Linked DNA regions of Arabidopsis thaliana. The protein of the gene in region 1 interacts with the protein of each later gene in a pairwise test. Each region holds a gene or a part of one and is shown in the gene's direction. Other genes may lie near its edges.

Region 1 (6,288 bases):
CTAATTCATAATTTTAAGGTTTGAACATGAATAACATTTCAACCTATGAAAGTTTAGAAATCATTTGATAAACTTTTATATTCATTATAGCAATTTAATTCTTGAAAATTGGTAATCTTAGATTCCTTTGACTAATCAAAAACTTGGTAATGTTGAGATATATATAAGTGATCAATCTAGTGAGGGGGTGGCCATACATAGGTGTATTAGTGCTTATGAGTTGGTAAGAAATATAGTCTCAAGAAATCTCTTCTTCTCTTCTTTAGTCTCCGCATGATTATTATCTCGACATAATCATGTAAAAGATTTATGATTTAATATAAAACTATTACATAGATGATTTGTTTTAATATATATTTTTTCTAAATATTCTAGATACCGGAACTTTCGAGAAAGAGATAATATCACAAAAAAACAGCAAATAGTAAGGTAAAATTTTCATTATTCTTATTTAAACATTTTTTTTAATAACATATGGATTCACCCAAATGTTATAATATCCATGGATATAGATATCCATATTATATAAGATTTATGAAAGTATATCTTTGTATTTAATTTTTTTTATATAAGTCACATAATATGAGAACAATATTTTCTAAAACTATACAAAATAGATTATATAAATCTTGAAAAAGACCATGTATTTTGATTTAAAGATTAAGATCTCTGGATGTTCATCTTCATATTTATTTTTGTATTATATATTTATATTGTAATTAGTTTTTGTTATTTATAATATCAACAAATTCAGATCCGGATAATTGTTTCTCGAGGTAATTCGAATCGGAACATCTCGAAATTTTAAAGTATCTAGTTCTGTGTCGACTTTATTGTATTATATCATTATTTACACACAGGAAATAAGTTCTAAGCATATGATATTTTCAGTAGCAAAACTTTTTCTTATATAAGCTATTAAATATTTTTTTTCATAAAATATACTTTCAGTTTTTAGAAAATTTATAATTGGTAAAAATTTATTTACAAAGAGCGGGAGCCAGGAAAAAAGAATTGTTATTATTTCAAGTGTAATTTTCTTAAACGTTGACATTTTTTTTGATTATATACTATACATTGATCAAAATACACACGTGCAAAATTTTAATCTAATCATTAATAAATTTGATCTTTTTTATTTTACCGTTACGTTTGAAATTATAATATAACGATGATTATTATTTTCTATATATCAAACCAAAAATAGCTATTTATACAATCCAAATCTTTTTCTTTTTTTAATCACACAAATCATTAACATTTGATGAAGTTGTTTCTTTTTCAATCTCCATCAAGATCATTAAAAATATCATTTTACAATAAAAAAAAATTAGGGGTTAAAACATAAATAAAACAGAAAGTATAGGGGACAAATAACACAAAAACACCACCACGTCCGCCACCAAAAGTTTTAACTTTCACACGAAGCTAGCCATGTCACTCTCTGCTCTTCTTGACCATTGACTTTTTTTAGAGATACAGAGATATGTCTTACTATTTAATTTCCTCATTTTGCAAAATGGTAAGAACGAAAAAGAATACCGTCATTGAGGGTAAAACCGTAAATATTAGGATACAAACGAGGGCAATTTAGGTATAAAAGAGGATGATAAATACGTGGTAATAGGTCACCACCACCAAGCTCTTCTTATGTTCATCCCAAAAAAGCTTTAATAAAAAAATAATCGTTTCTCTATGAAGAAGAAGACGACGACGGAAGAGGAAGACCTAGCATCGCCGACGATTTATTTTTGAATTTTCTTAGTCTAAGATATCTCCGGCGAGGAGACGTAGATTCATCGATCTAATATTCATCGATCTCGTTCTTGTGGCTTTTTAAATCGCCCAGACTTTTAAGAGACGCTGGATTTGATATCCGAGAAGAGCCGTTTGATAAATACGTAATCGATTCGAGCGGTGGATAGTGAAATTACGGCGGAGGAGTTGAATCGGATCTCGGTGGTGGTGTGTTTCTGTATTTGAGTGAGGAGGAAGGAGAAATATAAAAAGTAGGTGGAGACTCAGGTATATGAAAACCCTAAGTTCTTTGATTACTACTGCTCTTTGTTTATTGGTTCAATCAAGGAGAGATCTGTTTTGCTTATGGACGTCAATGGAAGATCCCTTAGGCTGCGATACGCTTCGAATATTCTTTTCGCCATGGAAGATCCCTTAGGTTTCTGCAATTTTCTTGGGAGATCTCTTAATCATGAGAACGATTTCTTTTTAACTCATCTTCCTCAGGAACTTAGTGGACATGAGTCTAGCCTTTACCCTTCTGATTTGGCTCATCTATATGATAGAATTAGGACACGATGATACTCTGATTTTGGGCAAGTTTAATGGATCTTGGCTTCACGCGGCCATTCAAGTTTTTCCAGAATCTTCGATTTGGCCAAGGGCAGTGATCTGAAGTCAGATTTAATCGGACTAGAAACATGAATAAATACTTGTTTTGTATGCTTTTAATGTCAAAACTCTGGAGGTTTTTTTCAGACTTATAGCGCAATCTGTCTTAAGGTAAAGGCTCATAGAGTCTTTAACTTGACTGTCTAGCTATGAAGTTTTTTTGCCTGCAGTGACTCTATTATTGTATACTAGAAGTAGGCAATAGCTCTTGCTTATGTTTTTTTTTTAATATGGTTTACTAATGAAAGGTTATTGCTTGCAGGTGAGGTAAGCGTTCATAAAACAAAAATCAAGTTTTGTGGGAGTGCATTGAAGCATGACAAGCAATAAAGGTGCTATCATCCCTCCAGAGCTTCCTTGGAAACCGGTGGCTAAAGGTAGCAGAAGTTCAACAAGGCGTGGCAAGAAACTAGTTAAACGAGTTGCAGCTTCAGATATTGAGTCAGAAGACAAGAGTTCAACACACACACTAGTAGCAGGAGAATCAAAGCGTCCAAAGGTTCCTCTTTTACTTTTTGTGCTTTCTTTCTTGATTTTGTTAGGAAATTTCTGGTCTCTTGATTTTAGTTTTTATTCTTTCTATTTATTGCAGCTTGGCGTTTCTGTTCTAGGTCAGCATTTCGTTGAAAGAGTAGAGCATGTTCCGATTAAGAAACGGATATTTGTGGTTAGCTCTCCATCACCATCACCATCATCATCAAAGAGGTCATCTGCTCAACGTGAAGGCTCAGAACATAAGGCACAGATCAACCATGTTTTACCTGTTTCGAGATTAAACCCTAATTTGGTCTCAGACGTCCGTGATGAAAAGCCTGATTACAGTGTTCATGACTTTTCTGGTATCAAGATACTTGCTGATGCTGCTTGCAGTACTGATGTGAGTAATGATTTTGCACCAGCTGTAGACCGTCTGCCTGCTGAAGAATTTGCTGTTCAGCTACAAGATACCTCAACCATATCAACTCATGTTGAAGGTAACGATTCATCAGCTGGAACTGCTGATGTCTCGCATACTGCGGTTGATTCCGGTGATCAGAGTGGCCAAGGAAAGAGCAATATTGTAGCGCCTCAGAAACATCCTCTAACAAATTTGTGCAATGAGTTGGCTGATGAGCAGAGTGTAGAGCACAGCAGAGTAACCTCTGGAGGGATTATAGCACCTAAAAAAACCTGCATTGCTCTTTCAAATGAATCCTCAACAGAAAGACCAAAGGATAATGTAGAAGCAAGTGAAAGTGAACCTTTAGCACCTGATAGTGGAGCTGTAACGGTGTCAGAGAAATTATCAGCCGATGAGCCAACTGAAAAAAACAATGAAGGCCTTAAAGATGTTAAATTTCTCTGGGATTTAAATATTCCTTGTGATGTAGAAGATGAAGCGTCTCGAAGAGATGAAGAGGGAGAAATCACAGAGTCTATTGCCCCTAAAGGGAGCGAACCTTTTGATGGAAGTAAACACAGTATGGATGGGGTAATTGCATCAGATGAACATACAAAATTTTCATCACCATCTAAGCCTAATGATGAAGCAGCTGCTACAAATGACAAGGATTGCCAATCTGGTTATGACTCCCAGTTTGAGGATGGAGAGTTGAGGGAACCATACCCTTGGGAAGAAAATGAAGAGGTTGAACAGTTGGATTACGGTTCTGAGCCAGAGGATGAGAGATTCTACTCTATGGGTTCTGAGAAGGGAATCTTGACAGATGAGAATTTCAGTCATGTTAAGTGTGAATCTGGTGATGCACTGAGAGTTGGGCAGGCTAATGAAGGAAGTGACATAGAGAAGCAAGCTGTTGTAAACATGAGCGATTCACATCCTAAGAAGGGCTCTTCTTCTCCTTCAAGGAGTTTTGGTTCAAAACCATACAAGGAGGTGCCTTCACATGATGCAATCCAGAGGAGAAGGCAAGTTTGCTTTCCCTGAGCCTTTTTTTTTGGTCAAACGCTTATTAATAATTTGTTAGTAACTGAGTCATGGTTCTTTATGATTCAGGCCTGATACTTATGAAGAGGTGAGCACGGGTCCAGATAGGTTTGCTCGGAGAGACGACAGGTCAGGGATGCGTATGCGTAATCGGAGTCCTCAAAGAGGGTATTTTAGTGGTTGGGATTCCAAACGACGCTTCTCCCCTCCTAATTACAAAGATGGTTCTTATGGTTCCGGGCGTCCATGGCATAAAAGAATGGCAGATGATCGAGGTATGATGAACGGCTTTGATGAGTCAGGGTCAGGACAAGGACCAGGACCAGAACCAGAACCAGAGGGTTATGTTCGTAGGCAATTCTCAAATGGTGGATACAGAGGTCGGTTTAAGAGATTCCCAGATGGTGGGGATCGTAAATTCAGGGGCCCATACACTGATACAAACCAATTTTCTGGTCGGATGCACAACCGGATGAGTGGTAATAGGAGAGAGAGAGGTGGCTCTCCGGTTGTCAGGAGATTGCACCACCCGCAATCAGAGTCAAGATCCAGAAGCCGTTCTCCAGTCTTGTGGAATGGCCGTAACAGATCACCTCCTCCTCCTCCAGGTGGGTTTAGAGCAGACGAGAGGATGACGGAAAGAGTGAGGCTGCCTTTCCAGAAACGGTTTCCTGCAGATCAGGAGATGGGTTATATGTCACCTCCGAGAAACAGAATGTCGTCGCCGAGGTTCTTTGAAGGGAGGAATAATGGTGCTGGAGAGAATTATAATAGCTTCAGAGAAAGGAAGTTCCGGCCTGGACAGAGATTTTATGTCGGAAATTCCATGAGAAGACCGAATTCTGACAACAACAACTTAAGACCATTTATTCCGAACAGAAGATTTGACAATCCGGAAGAGAGCACTGGTGGGAACAGGTTTGAGATGACTCAGCAGCGAAGGACTCGACGGTCTGAGACCACAGAAGATGGAGGTGATGTTATTCGACGGTTCAAGTTTAATGAAGAACAACAGTCAGTGGTGGTAGCCAACGACAACAACAACAAAGAGTCATGATAACAGATAACGTAAGAGACTTGTTTGGGTTCTTTCCAATAGAATCTCTCTTATGTTAGTTTAGATTTGTTTGTTATGTTTGTTATCCTAATTTTATTTTAGGAAGAGGTAAGAAAAATGCCATGGCGTCATCTGTTACGTTTATGACTGCTGGTATTTTTGTTTTCTTTTAAATTTTCTCATTTTCTTTCTACAGAGTTTTTAGGGTTTTCTAGGCTTAATTTGATGCTGTTTTCCTTTTCTGGAAATGATTTCTATATTTGTAGAAAATCAACAAAATGAAATCAATATCTTTTTTTCTTACCATATTTGTAGCTCAAATGAATTTTGTCAATAAAAAATGAGAAAAATAGCACCAATCTTGAGATGGTACAAGGACAAACTTATACGTACTTCCTACATTACTATATGGTTCTTAGCAGCTTTTAGATATTTTGTTGCTTTGGTTTTGGAGAGTAGAAAAGTATTTACGAAAAGAAAGGAAAAAGACTTGCGGCACTGTCTACACTGAGAAGAGGTCATAACCTGCAAGTAAGGCCCAAAATAATAGAAAGAGATAGTAATGAGCTACGTGGTATGAAACAAATTCATTCGAAGGTACAAAGCCTCAAAATAAAACACAGTAAGGAACCCTTTGGCAAATTAAGCCAACTTGAAATTTTGTGGGGTTTACAATATAAATCAATATATATATATATATATATATATATATATATATATATATATAGAGAGAGAGAGAGAGTGAGCACTGAGCAGAGTCAGGTCCATAGTTTAGTTATACTACCATCTTCACATGAACTTAAGAACTTTAACTCCAAATGCAATTCCTATGAAAGTTGCAATGGCGATCCCAAATATTCCGGCCAGAATCCCGGGAACTATCAACGAGTTCCAT
Region 2 (5,560 bases), on another chromosome or scaffold:
GGGGGACATTGTTGACAACAACTAGGGTCAGATGGTTTGGGCTGCACGAGAAATATAGTCAGGAATACTGTAAGACATAGATAGTGGGTAAAAGAAAATTCAGAAAACAAAACAATGAATATGAGTTTGTTAATTTACAGACCACTTCACTACGATAAGAGGAATCTTTTTGGGAAGTAGATCCTCCATCACTGATTCAAGTCCCGGGTACTGCAACATTAACATAAACATATTTATATCTGACAAACTTCACGAAATCATAAAAGTTTAAGAAGGGGAAAAAGACAAATGAAACAACAGACATACCTCATCTTGGATACTCTGGCGGATCCTACGTTGAACAGATGCCTTCACTTGGTTTTGTGATGAAATCTCCTCCAAACAAAACCTAAATAAAAAGTAGTGAACATAAATAACACCTTCATAGACATAATGGTATATCAAATAGATCTAAAGTTGATAGCAGTAGGGAAAAATAAACTTTATACAAGATTCACTATGAATGTATAAGCATGTTTCAGGAGATGGATAAACACAAACTCCATGATAGTAGAGAGTTTAGACTGGTCAAATCAAGACACAAACTTTCCTCTATGACCCACGACTCTTTGTACAGATTTGATAAATCAAATAGTGACACTATCAATATAGAAACCAAAACTTTACAATAGCAAGATGTTAGCTTTTGAGAACTCAAAACCTTCTACTTTGAAGAAAATATAACAACCAATATGCCCATACCAAGGCTACTCTAAGCAATCAAATTAACAATGTGGTCGACAACAAGTAGAAGGGAGTGAGTTCTCGATAGTTATTAGAGTAAGTGGATACTAAATAAAGAGACCATCACATTCTTTATCAACTAGTATAAACAATGCCGAGATGTTGAAACCACTAATTCTTAGATTCTACAATCCGGGTATGAAAAACAGTTTCTATCTAAATAAAAAAGTAGAGAAAGAATCTAGAAAGAGACAAAGATGCTTACTTCTTAAACATGTTCGAGGTTTATTGAAAATGATCACCAGCTTCTAACTATGGTATCTTCTTCCCTGCAAGCGAACAGTGGAAGATGATTGATAACGGAAATATCGGAACATCACTCAACAAACCAAAAATTTGGACATCATATCGCAACAAATTCAATAGGAAAAATACTGAAATTCCAAAACAGAAAAACCAAACGGAACAGAGCAGGAACTCACGGACTGAGAGAGACCGTGGACGGTGTCACGGCGGAAAATGGTCTTGGACGGAGTTACTAATCGGCGAATTGAGATTTGAGAGGTGGTAGTAGAGGAACCGAGAGAATGTTTCTCTCAAAAAAATCCCCAAGTGTTTCCGATCTAGTGTCTCTTTTGTCCAAAAACGACAGTGTTTAGGAAACCTAGGAGAATGAATGACCCGATGGTCCGAATCCGATTCGAAATTGGTTCGAATTGTAATAACTAACATACAATATTCCGGTTTGAATGATAAGAAAAAACACATTCGATCCGGTTAGAACAATATATTAACAGGCCCATTAAAACATATGGGCCGATCTTGATCAACTGGGCTATTCATCGTTGATACATGCGGCCGCACAGGATTAAAATCCAGTTCCGTTTTATAAAAGGATACTAGTTTCCAAACGAACGGTGGTTGTCTCCTTTCCAGAACAATCTAACGCTTTCTCGAACATCTTCTTCTTCTTCTTTCTCGAAATTATTTTTCCAGTAATCAATTTCTTCTCTTCTAGATTTTTACAGGAACTAATTTTCTGCTCTGAGGTATCAGATGAGTAGCCGATGGAATCGTACGATCTACGTTGGGAATTTGCCTGGAGATATTCGCAAGTGTGAGGTTGAAGATCTCTTCTACAAGGTTTGAAAATTCCTCTTTTCTCTCGATAAAAATTGAATTCATTATGACTTGTTTGGGTTCATAAATTTGCAATTCTGTCTTGCTGAGACAATTTAAATCGACTCTTATGTATATTTGTTTCAGTATGGACCAATTGTGGACATTGATTTGAAGATTCCACCGAGACCTCCTGGTTATGCCTTTGTCGAGGTATATTGATCAAGTACAAATTTGTTTTTTTCTTCTTCTTGTAATAGTATAGGCTAATGACTAAGATAGTTTGTTATTGGTGGCAGTTTGAAGATCCTCGTGATGCAGACGATGCAATTTATGGACGTGATGGTTATGATTTTGATGGGTGTCGACTTCGGGTTAGTAAACGCATGATGAAAGCTAGCTTAATTTTCTGTAATTTCTTGTAAAGGTGTTATCTTTGTGTGATGTTTTTAGGTTGAGATTGCACATGGTGGTCGTAGATTTTCACCATCAGTTGATAGGTACAGCAGCAGCTACAGTGCGAGCCGTGCACCTTCAAGACGCTCTGACTACCGCGGTTTGTAGAGTCTTCTCGATTGTGTTATTTGGTGTTGTGTAAAATTTTATATTTGAAAACTCATTTTTACTACCTAAACATGTAGTGCTTGTGACCGGATTACCGCCTTCTGCTTCGTGGCAGGACCTTAAGGTAAGGGACACTATATAGTCTTTTTCTCTGAATGTTGGTTCTCTATATCATGTTTTGGATTTATCTCTTTTCTGAAATGATGTTATTTGCTATTTACGGGTGATTAGGATCACATGCGCAAAGCTGGAGATGTCTGCTTCTCTGAAGTTTTCCCTGACCGTAAAGGTGAGTTGACATTCGATAGTTTGGATAAGCTTTTGATTGATGTGTTAGTAAATTAGTCTTTGTGAAGGAGAATAGGTGTTAAGCATCTGAACTGCTAAACTCACATTCAGTATTTCTTTGTAGGCATGTCTGGGGTTGTGGATTATAGCAACTATGATGATATGAAGTACGCAGTAAGTTTTATATCTTTGCAACGCAAATGTTCCTGGACTTATGCCTTAGACTGCTTTTGTTTCATAGTATACCGAGCTGAATTTATCTTCCTGGAGGCCAGTGTTGGATCTTTGATGTTCCCTTAAAATTTTTGATGTGACAGATAAGGAAACTTGATGCCACTGAATTTCGAAATGCTTTCTCTAGTGCTTATATACGGGTATGTTGTATTGCTTTCTTTGATTTTGTTAAGCATAAGTGGATATGGAGTCATCTCTGAATTTACTGTTCAGGTGAGGGAATATGAGTCGAGGAGTGTGAGTCGAAGCCCAGATGATTCTAAAAGCTATAGAAGCAGGAGTCGGAGCCGTGGTCCAAGCTGTAGCTATAGTAGCAAGAGCAGGAGGTCTTTTTTTTTTTTTTTTTTTCATAAACCTAAGACATATAAGGGATTTTTATTGTAACTTATTTATGAAATTAACTGACTTCTAAATGCAATGCAGTGTGTCACCTGCTAGATCCATTTCCCCGCGTTCACGGCCCCTTAGTCGTTCTCGCTCGCTATACAGCTCTGTCTCAAGGTATGAGTGTTAGATTTGTATCATTATTATATATGTAGTTACCCCTTCATGGATCACTTGTTCTTGCATAGTGAACTCCTTACTAGCTTTATTACTTACAACTAAGCACCTTTTGTTGCTTCCGTACACAGTTGAATTTGTTTGAGTCTTTTTTCCCTCATAGTGGACTAGTCTATTGTCACTTGATTTTCTTCCTTTGTTGATGTTTTCTATGTCATGCAAACTCCAATATGGGTAAAGGTTACCTCCTTGTTTGGGATTACCAGAGTTCCTTTTCATTTCTTACACGTGAATGTGTTTGTTTTTTATGTTTTGAGTTCTTGACAGAGATGCTCCCATCATATTTAGTCCTTTTCCTTTCTCTTTGTGTCGTTCTCTTCTGGATGTTTCCTTCTGATAAAGCTTTACTTCTTAACTTTTTTCCAGCGACGGTGAATTTATTACGTATCAATCTTCATTATCCGACTTATAATTTAAAGAACACTTAGCTAGATGTTTCACTTTTTGAAAATTTATTTCTATCGGAAGGGGGAAGATGGATTTCTGAGGCATGTCCTCGATCATTTACCGTGATTACAATTGTATTGCGTTGTTTGTTTTCTAGATCTGGCTCACTGCTACGAGCTGGGGATTGGATCTAGATGGGTCATCTAGATGGATTCTTGGACTGGATTTACAAAGCTGGATTAGCATGAACTTGAACTTCTGTTTTTACGGTCTGGTCTGGTCTGGTACTCCGCGCGTATCAGCTGTAGGATCTGATCGCAAAGTTTTGGACTATGATTACTCTGATTCCTCAATATATTTATCTTTTTGACAATAGTGGATTCTGTGTTGAGTTCTTTTCTAGGACAGCATTTAAGCTCCCGGGACTAGATGGGAGATGGTCAGTAAATTTCTTTGTTATGCCACACTTACATGGGGTTTTTGGTCTTGCTGCAGGTCCCAATCAAGATCAAAATCAAGATCAAGATCAAGATCGAATTCTCCAGTTTCACCTGTAAGTCTAAAAGCTGAACCTTCTTTAATTCACAATCCATGGTGTTTGTTTAAATACCTGCTCACTTTGGTTGTTCTTCAATCAACACCAACTTAACGAAATCATGAGACAGACTATAAAATTTGAAGAGTCTTAGAACGACTAGGTCTCACCAACCTCTGTGTGCACTAAAAATCGCCTCTCCAAGTGTTTCAGCAACATAATCTACCTCTGTCATGTGTTATCATTTCTTCTTCTCTTAACGGTATTACATATTATGTTTTGCAGGTGATATCTGGTTGAAAATGAAAACTGGCCACTGGCTGTACCCGAATCGTCTCAAGCTTCTCAGGCTCCACTGCTAATAGAATTTGATTCCGATTTGGGATTATTATACTGGTCTTCTTGTATGGGACGACCAATATGTCTTTCTAGTTTTAGTTGTGAACCTGGAATTGGTCTGTTATTGTGTCATTAAAAAGCCGGAAACTCTGTCTCGGCTGCATAATAAAGTTCATCAGACATTGTGTTGGGTGTGGTGAGGTTTTTCCATACATATACATTTACATTACAACTACTGGTGTCTTTTATGATTATCTTAAACTAAACTTGCAGTGTTAAAACTAAACTTGCTTTTGTTTTTGGATAAGATCACTCTAAAACGGTACAACCCCTGCCTGTATCCTACCAACAGTAACAACACACTACAGCTCATAGGCCATAGCACCAGAGTTTTGTGTAAACGAAATGGCCCAGAATAATTGCAATTTGGTCCGAAAGTAAAGTCTATTGCGACTGGGCCTGTTCCCTAAAATGTGATTTGGGCTATAGCCGGAATATCAAATAGCGGGTCAACCCGAAACCCGACCCAGTAATTATTCTCTCCCCTCCGAAAGCATCGATAAATCCTCTGGTTTCCTTTGTCCAACGAGTCCATTTTCGCGAGCTTCCGTGTCCAAGAGCTCCTCGACCATGGCGTCTTGTTTACAAGCATCCATGAATTCTCTGCTTCCACGCTCTTCTTCTTTTTCTCCTCATCCTCCTCTATCTTCGAATTCATCCGGGAGAAGAAACTTGAAGACTTTTCGTTACGCCTTTCGCGCCAAAGCCTCTGCCAAAATCCCTATGCCTCCGATAAATCCAAAGGATCCT

What was found. Proteins that work in one complex are often made in the same cells at the same time.
Region 2: the proteins of AT5G52530 (region 1) and SR30 interact in a two-hybrid assay, tested with the Arabidopsis thaliana proteins (one large-scale study listed by BioGRID).

Annotation. Positions count from the first base shown.
Region 1 is NC_003076.8:21,315,490-21,321,777, forward strand, and holds AT5G52530 (dentin sialophosphoprotein-like protein), read left to right. Parts: upstream 1-1,640; 5' UTR 1,641-2,025; exon of another isoform or gene 2,026-2,520; intron 2,521-2,671; 5' UTR 2,672-2,725; coding exon 2,726-2,908; intron 2,909-3,001; coding exon 3,002-4,317; intron 4,318-4,405; coding exon 4,406-5,393; 3' UTR 5,394-5,778; downstream 5,779-6,288. Other genes in the region: AT5G52540 (keratin-associated protein, putative (DUF819)), read right to left, coding at 6,183-6,288.
Region 2 is NC_003070.9:2,942,038-2,947,597, reverse strand, and holds SR30 (SERINE-ARGININE PROTEIN 30), read left to right. Parts: upstream 1-1,621; 5' UTR 1,622-1,779; coding exon 1,780-1,866; intron 1,867-1,989; coding exon 1,990-2,055; intron 2,056-2,141; coding exon 2,142-2,216; intron 2,217-2,295; coding exon 2,296-2,398; intron 2,399-2,483; coding exon 2,484-2,530; intron 2,531-2,637; coding exon 2,638-2,695; intron 2,696-2,818; coding exon 2,819-2,868; intron 2,869-3,011; coding exon 3,012-3,068; intron 3,069-3,141; coding exon 3,142-3,254; intron 3,255-3,351; coding exon 3,352-3,429; coding exon of another isoform or gene 3,430-3,442; exon of another isoform or gene 3,443-4,033; coding exon of another isoform or gene 4,034-4,070; exon of another isoform or gene 4,071-4,371; coding exon 4,372-4,429; intron 4,430-4,696; coding exon 4,697-4,711; 3' UTR 4,712-5,060; downstream 5,061-5,560. Other genes in the region: AT1G09150 (pseudouridine synthase and archaeosine transglycosylase (PUA) domain-containing protein), read right to left, coding at 1-41, 143-210, 307-388, 989-999; AT1G09130 (ATP-dependent caseinolytic (Clp) protease/crotonase family protein), read left to right, coding at 5,381-5,560. UniProt on the Arabidopsis thaliana protein: Regulatory splicing factor that modulates alternative splicing and gene expression in specific cell types. Autoregulates its own expression. Probably involved in intron recognition and spliceosome assembly.